Macaca mulatta: one gene and its partner. The protein of the gene in region 1 interacts with the protein of each later gene in a biochemical or structural test. Links are inferred from orthologs where the notes say so. Each region holds a gene or a part of one and is shown on either strand. Other genes may lie near its edges. The genes, in order: SCN8A and FGF14.

The links.
Region 2: the proteins of SCN8A (region 1) and FGF14 form a complex in vitro, tested with the Homo sapiens proteins (2 studies listed by BioGRID). The link is inferred for Macaca mulatta from reciprocal best matches to the Homo sapiens genes SCN8A and FGF14.

The regions. Positions count from the first base shown.
Region 1 is NC_133416.1:58,987,288-58,991,117, reverse strand, and holds part of SCN8A (sodium channel protein type 8 subunit alpha), read right to left. Parts: intron 2,638-3,830; coding exon 1,490-2,637; 3' UTR 1-1,489. UniProt on the Homo sapiens protein: Pore-forming subunit of a voltage-gated sodium channel complex assuming opened or closed conformations in response to the voltage difference across membranes and through which sodium ions selectively pass along their electrochemical gradient.
Region 2 is NC_133422.1:96,370,532-96,374,361, reverse strand, and holds part of FGF14 (fibroblast growth factor 14), read left to right. Parts: intron 1-1,709; coding exon 1,710-1,908; intron 1,909-3,830. UniProt on the Homo sapiens protein: Probably involved in nervous system development and function.

The DNA of each region.
Region 1 (3,830 bases):
TCACAGCCGTAACCCCAGTGCTGCTACCCTCACCCACCTCTGTGGGCAAGGGAAGCCCTGCTCAGTGGAGAAATGTGATGGAGGCAGGGGAGCCATGCAGTGTGTGAGTACGCGACGACCCCTCTGCAGAAGAGAGAGGCCAGTTCAGAGTATCTGAACCCCTCGCGGCATCGACCCATGCCTGGAGAAAGCCACAATGCAGAGGACATGATACGAAATGAAATGAGCACCCCGTAACTCCCAATGAAAGGTCGTTTTAAGTTCCCCAAATTACCCCTAGAGATAACTGGTGCTACTTTGAATAGCACTTTAACTCTATCCCAAATAAGTGTCAATTCTCCAGTATGAAGGCTAAACGATCATCATAAATACTGCAAGATACAAATGAATTTTTTTTTTTAGCCCTAGGATTTGGTTTTACAGTGACATAAATAGTACAAGCCATTTGGGATCAAAGTCTCCCCCATGTACTGGACACAGAGCAGCATTAAATAGTTCATCTTGCAAAATGTGCAACAATGGCTGTATGTTAGAGATGTCTGTTAAACATATACACACAACGGATCCATCTGCTTGTTGGATTGGGTTTGTTTTTTGTTGGTGGTGGTGTTAGTCAATTAGTTGGTTATTTCCCTACCCAGAAGGTGTATGAAGGACTTTTAAGAACTCATAATAAAGAATTATAGCCGGTATGGAACTCTTACCATTTTCTCCAAATACAGTGAACGGTGCAGGGCTGGGTCCTGTCCAAAGGCTGACCCAATGCAAGGGACTAGATTAGTAGTGTCCTGTGGTGTATGGATCTCATGCATGACTTCTGATCACGGCATGCCATCATGCAAATCATTTCTACGCATTGAACGAGCACAATGTTTGGAATCGGCCTGAGCAAGTCCTCCTCAGCCTGAAGAAACCTGATTGTTTTCCCCCACCCATCTCCAAACCATGTGAAGCCCATGTGGAGAAGATGCGCTTTATGTCAAAGAAACTGACAATTAAATGACATGGGCTAAATGTGAGTGTGTGTGTGTGTTTTCTTTTTGCTGCTTAGCTTAACTAATGTAAGAATGCAAATATAGTTTGCATGAACAAACGAACTTTTAAAGTGATGCCTTCTGCTTCTGAGAATCAATAAAATGAAAAAATAAAATCCATTTGGCTGCAACGGAAATACGCTGGTCCCGGCAGCCTCTCTTCTGTTTCTGTATCTGGTTAGTTTTGTCCTAAGTTGCATTGACTGATGTGGAACATGCAGTAACCACCTGCCCAAGCATTAGAAAATCTGTGAGTCTAGGGAGCGGGGTCCTTTGCCCTTGGCAGGTCACTGCTCAAGATGCAGCTGTGTTATGTGGTAAGCAGACGACGTTTGGTATAGATCTTCAGGTTAGAGTCTCCACAGCTGTTCTGCATTGATAATATTCAGGAAGTTTGTAAACAATCTTTCACTTGCGAGTTTTAGATCTGTATAATACTGAATTTTTGTTCTCCTCTAACACTTGGATTCTCTGACCTCTTTTTGTCTTTTGGTTCTTTCCCTTCTTCCTTCCTCTGCCCGCTGCTGTTTCTCCTTTTCAGGTTTAGTTACACTGTCATAGGACGGGAGGGAGGCTGTAGATGGGGTGCTCTCTTTTTTCTCCCGGTGTGTGCCTCCATTCTCCAGCTTATTAGAAGTTGTCTTTTTGCAGATGAAGCCCCGCCTTGCCAAATGTCCCCGGTAGGCACGCTGCAGGACCACCGCAGATACCTCCTCCTGCTTGCGGCGCAGCGTGGTTGTGATTGGCTCGTAAGACACTTTGGAAGGATTGGATGCCACGAACCGCTCTTCCATCTGCTGCCGCAGGATGTCCAACTCCCCGCTATCTCCCAGGACCCGCTTGGTGAAGGCAAAAAGGATGTCCAAGCAGTGGATGCGATCCCCGCTCACCATTGGCAGATCCATAGCGATGAGCTCAATGGTATTGGGCTTGGGCACTCGGAGAGGATGCTCCAAGGCATCTGCAAAGTCTGCCAGCTTACAGTACTCAATGAACTGGGTAGCATCAGGGTCGAACTTCTCCCAGATCTCATAGAAGGTCTCAAAGTCATCCTCACTCAGAGGGTCTGCACTTTCCTCTGTGGCTACACTGAAGTTCTCCAGGATGATGGCAATGTACATGTTCACGACAATTAGGAAGGAGATGATGATGTAGCTTACAAAGAAGAAGATGCCCACTGAGGGGTTCCCACAATCTCCCTTAAAGCCACTCCCTGGGTGTTCCTTATCTAGGCTGCAGTCAGGGGGGCGGTTTAGGATGGGCAGCAGCAGGCCATCCCAACCAGCTGAGGTTGTGATTTGAAACAGGCAGATCATGCTGTTGCCAAATGTCTCAAAGTTGAACATGTCATCAATACCAGCCTCGTGCTTCACATATGCAAAATTGGACATCCCAAAAATGGAGAAGATGAACATGACCAGGAAGAGCAGAAGGCCGATGTTGAACAGGGCAGGCAAGGACATCATTAAGGCAAAGAGCAGGGTACGAATCCCTTTGGCACCTTTGATCAGACGCAAGATGCGCCCAATACGGGCCAATCGGATGACTCGGAATAGGGTTGGGGAAACAAAGTATTTCTCAATTATATCTGCCAGGAACATTCCTAAGAAGAGGAATAGAAGACGTTATGTTATTGAGATTGGAGACACCCTTTCTCTTTACTTTTTTTACCTGGCACTGTGGAACCCTTAGGTTCAAAGGGCTTTGCAGAATAAGTGCCTTACTATTCAGTCTGAACTCTCAAAAAGTGACATTTTGGCTGGGCATGGTGGCTCACGCCTGTAATCCCAGCACTTTGGGAGGCCAAGGCAGGTGGATTACTTGAGGCCAGGAGTTGGAGACCAGCCTGGCCAACATGGTGAAACCCTGTTTCTACTGAAAATAAAAAATTAGCTGGGCATGGTGGTGCACATCTGTAATTCCAGCTACTTGGGAGGCAGAGGCACAGGGATCACTTGAACCCGGTAGGTGGAGGTTGCAGTAAGCCGAGATCATGCCACTGCACTCCAGCCTTGGTGACAGAACAAGACTCCTGTCTCCAAAAAAAAAAAACCCAAACAAACAAACAAACAAAAAAAGTGACGTTTTAAACATACAGAAAAGTAGACAATAAAATAGACACCTATGTGCCAAACACTGCATAACTAACACACAAATTTGTTTTTTGATGCTGTTTTTTGTTTTGAGATGGGGTCTTGCTATGTTGCCCAGGCTGGTCTCAAACTTCTTGGCTCAAGTGATCCTCCTACCTCAGACCTCCCGAGTAACTGGGATGGAGCAAAGATTTAATACAGGCTAGCATTTTGCCAATTTTTCTTCCTCTTTCATCATTCCCAGATGAAGCATCCACAATCCTGAAGATGGTATGTATCATTCTAGTGTGTGTGTTTATAGATTTACTATGTAAGAATCCTATATAATTTCCTACTATGGTTAGGAAATTATACTGTATCTGTCTTATTGATTTAGTTTAAACATTTTGTAGAGATGGGGGTCTTGCTATGTTGCCCAGGCTGTTCTTGAATGCCTGGGTTCAAGCAGTCCAATCCTCCCTCCTCAACCTCCCAAAGTCCTGGGATTACAGGTGTGAAATGCCACATCCAGGCTGTATCTGTCTTCTGAGGTCCATCTGTTTAGGTCTCTACCTTGTTTTTGAGATTTAACATTACAATTGTGAGACTGATCCCTCATGTTGAAATAATTTTAGATTATTCATTCTAACAATTGAGTGGTATTCCCTTTTATGAATAGGTCCTCATTTACTTGTTTTTCTACTCAAGAATGATTAGTTTTTTT
Region 2 (3,830 bases), on another chromosome or scaffold:
CACCATAAATGCATGAACATGTACTGTTTTATCAATCTTTTTTTTCTGGCGCATGGCCTGGACATTGACTCAGTGAGACTGTCATTTAGTAGTGAGAAAACTAATAGGAGGATATTTGGAGATGCAGAACTCAGTGGAAAGCCAGAGCATTTATTTGGATGGGGTCTTATTCTAATCTGAGGTAGCATCATCAAGAAGAAATAATGATCTCCATAAATTGCTCCAGGAGAGGGCTAAATCTGTCATTTGGCTATTGCAATTTCATCGAATTGATCATTGTAACTGTCATCTTTGTCTTGAAAAGCATCTGCCACTAACAAAGCCTGTTCCCCTTGGAAAACTATTAGCTCTCAGTGAATTAAAGTTATGTAGACACTGAATAAATTGTCTCCTGCATGAGAAAGCATTTGATAATTCACACTTTTATGGGAAATATTGAAAGGAAATTTCTACATGTCATTAGGTCATGTTCCTAATTACAGTTAGTATAAAGTTTTAGTTTTTAGCCCCTAAGGAATATTTTTCAGAATGGGTATACAACATTTTTAGAAGAAAAACAAAAGTTATTATTTTCTGCAATAATAAAATCTGTTAAAGAAAAATGAAAACTTTGTGTATATTTTTTAGTCCAGTGGTATTTTTTAAAAAGATCAAGGACAGTAAGGATCTATTTTCCATCTATATTTATATACATATAGAATAGCACAGTGTTAGACCTATTTAAAACTAGCTAAGTGTCTTTCATGGTTTATAACCAGACAGGTTGAATTTCAAATTTACTTTTAATAGAGGACTATCAAAAATGCATATGTAGATTGTACCTTTATCAATTTTTTTATTAATGTTGCATGGGATTATATTCATTATTATTCATTCCAAAGTAAGAAGTATATAAAAATCAGCTATGAATATTTCTGACATTAATAATAGTTGTAAAGTAGCAAGCTTTGTGCTGCTCATCAATTAATGTAGTCCATGGCATTGAGCATAGTAGTATTTAACAAACTGTATGCTTTCCGAAAATGCTGGGTGGTTTTTCAGTTGGAGCAGCTTTTGATGTTTATCTTCAAGAGTTCAAGGTTTGGAGCCCCATTGAATTATTTTCAGCTCCTGTCACTATGACCAGCTAACATGACACCTGACCTCATCTGGTATACAACAATAGCTCTAGTGGCTGGCAAGTAAGCCAGCTGATTGTCATGGTTTTAGTTTGAGGTTTCAGTTTGTTCCTTTGGAAGTAAAATGTATCACCCTACGATTTCAGTGATCCAAGGAACAACTGGCAGCTGTTAAGAGTATCGTATCACTGTTCCTATGGAAACATGTAAAATGGATTATAAAATATCTGAAATGTGTATTTTATTTGGTTCACTTTATTGTGAATATCTGATGCTACTTTAATGATCCCTTTCTGATTATACTCTGGTTGAACTGTCTTCTGTTTAAGTTAAATCTTTAGTTTGCTCATGTCTTCTGTTTTCTTATGATATACTTTTGCTTCTGTATATTCTCAACAGTAGCAGATTCTTCTCAATTTATTGTATATTTAAAAAATGTATAGACAATTATTGTGTGCAGGAAGGGGTATATCCGGTCCTCCATGCCAAAGGACTCTTTCACCATGCTGGGAAACGTTCTAGAGAATGAATAGAATGTACAGTGAAGATCAAGTTCCTTCCTCTAACCTTTGTTTCCTTTTCTCTCCACAGGAACTTTTTACCCCTGAATGCAAGTTTAAAGAATCTGTTTTTGAAAATTATTATGTAATCTACTCATCCATGCTGTACAGACAACAGGAATCTGGTAGAGCCTGGTTTTTGGGATTAAATAAGGAAGGGCAAGCTATGAAAGGGAACAGAGTAAAGAAAACCAAACCAGCAGCTCATTTTCTACCCAAGCCATTGGAAGGTGAGTATTATGTATGCATTATTATTACACAGACTTATTACACATTTTATTTTTCAAATTGATAGGTCTACCAAGGCTATAAGAAACCCTCACAAATGCTGGAAATGTCATTTATTTTGATCTGGGTGATGCTTGCACAGATGCCTACTTAAGTTATTCATTTAGTTTGTGCCCCTTATATACTTTACCGTATTTGCATATGTATGTGTACCAGGAAAAATTTCTTCTCTGCCACTTCCAGTGTCTCAAATCCTCACTGCTACAGCCACTCTAACTCTTAGATAATTTAATTAATTAATTTAAAACAATTTTAAATATGTAATGATACAAACCTGTGATAAGTGTATTAGAAAAAGATAATACGTATATTAGAAAAAAATAAGTTTTGAGTGTGGAATCAAAAGTGTTTTCCATTTTGATAATATCTAGGTGAAAGTAATTACTTACTTGTGAATTATTGTAATTACAGAAAATTAAGAGATAATAGCTTGACTCTTAAAAAACTTGCTGATGTTAAACATCTGCTTTCAAACTGCGTAATTCTTCACTGTATACAGTTGTAGCATTACTTCTTTTACTAAAATAATTTATCCACATTCATTTGTGTACAGGAAGGGATATATCTGGTCATCCATGCCAAATGAATAGAAACTTCACATTTACTTCAATCAGATACCCAAAGAGCAGGCTACAAAGTTTTTTTAATTAATCAACAACATCTGCACCTCTCTCATTAATTATTCTGCCAAAAGTGTCATTTACTTTTATCTATGTAACATTTGAGAATTACAAAAATATTTGATTTTAGGCTATTCACATGTGTTTTCTATTCAAGTACTTTTGTTTACTCTTTTGCAGAAGATCAGATCTACAATAACTCAATAAATATTTTAAGCTAGCTTGGACAGCTCATTTTTCTTTTTGTGTTTTATTCCTACAGGAAAGACTTAGCCATCAAGAGAAAATGCATATTGTTTTCATAATGCATATTCTCTATATTGAAATAAAAAAATTAAAAAATTTGAACAGTCAATTCTTCATTATCTGTGAGTGTATAATTAAGTTTCAGTTTGCCTAAATTCAGAAAATCACTCTTGTTGGCTAATACTACTTTTATAATTTCAATGATGTTGACTTACTGTCACTCTTAATTATATTTTTCTGTAGAACAATTTATTGAAACCGAAACAGCCACCAGGGCCTATGTAGGAAAAGACAAATTATTCCATAGTCTGTAATATGAGTGAATTATCTCAGTATATAGTGGATCATAAGGATGATTAGAATAGAAAGAAGTTAGAGGATTTCCCTGTACCTCCCAAAAAACACATCAATGATACACTTTCATTGTTTTAAATAAATTTTGATAACATTGGACTCACCAATATTTAAATGCAAATAAAAAATGTAAAAATAAGGCCACAGATGCTCTAACAAGACCATGGTTTATTTGCCACCTTGCTTTATCTCTTTTCACTCATTTTATGTTTTGTTAACAGTTAAGAATTGACTAGATTTTTAGAACCTTACCTTTTAGCTGCATAAATGTAACAAAACCCAAAAGGGCTGTTATGTCATTTAACCGAGGTAAAATTTGGGAACCAGTTATTTTGCATATCCCATAGAAAATATCTGAGACAATAATGATGTAGTATAGAATGGTATTTGGTATTTCACTCATGTGTTTGTTATGTGTATATGAGTGTTTTGTGTGTGTATGTGTATATATATATATATATATATATATATATATATATATATATATATGAGAAAGAGAGAAACAACAGTTTTCATTTCAAAAAATTAGAAGTACTCTAAAAAGAGTTAAGGGGGTAGGTACTATAATGACAGAGGTTATCACGTTGTTTACTTGATAGAGGAAAATTAATTCCAAACTTTCAAAACCCATACCGAATATAAAT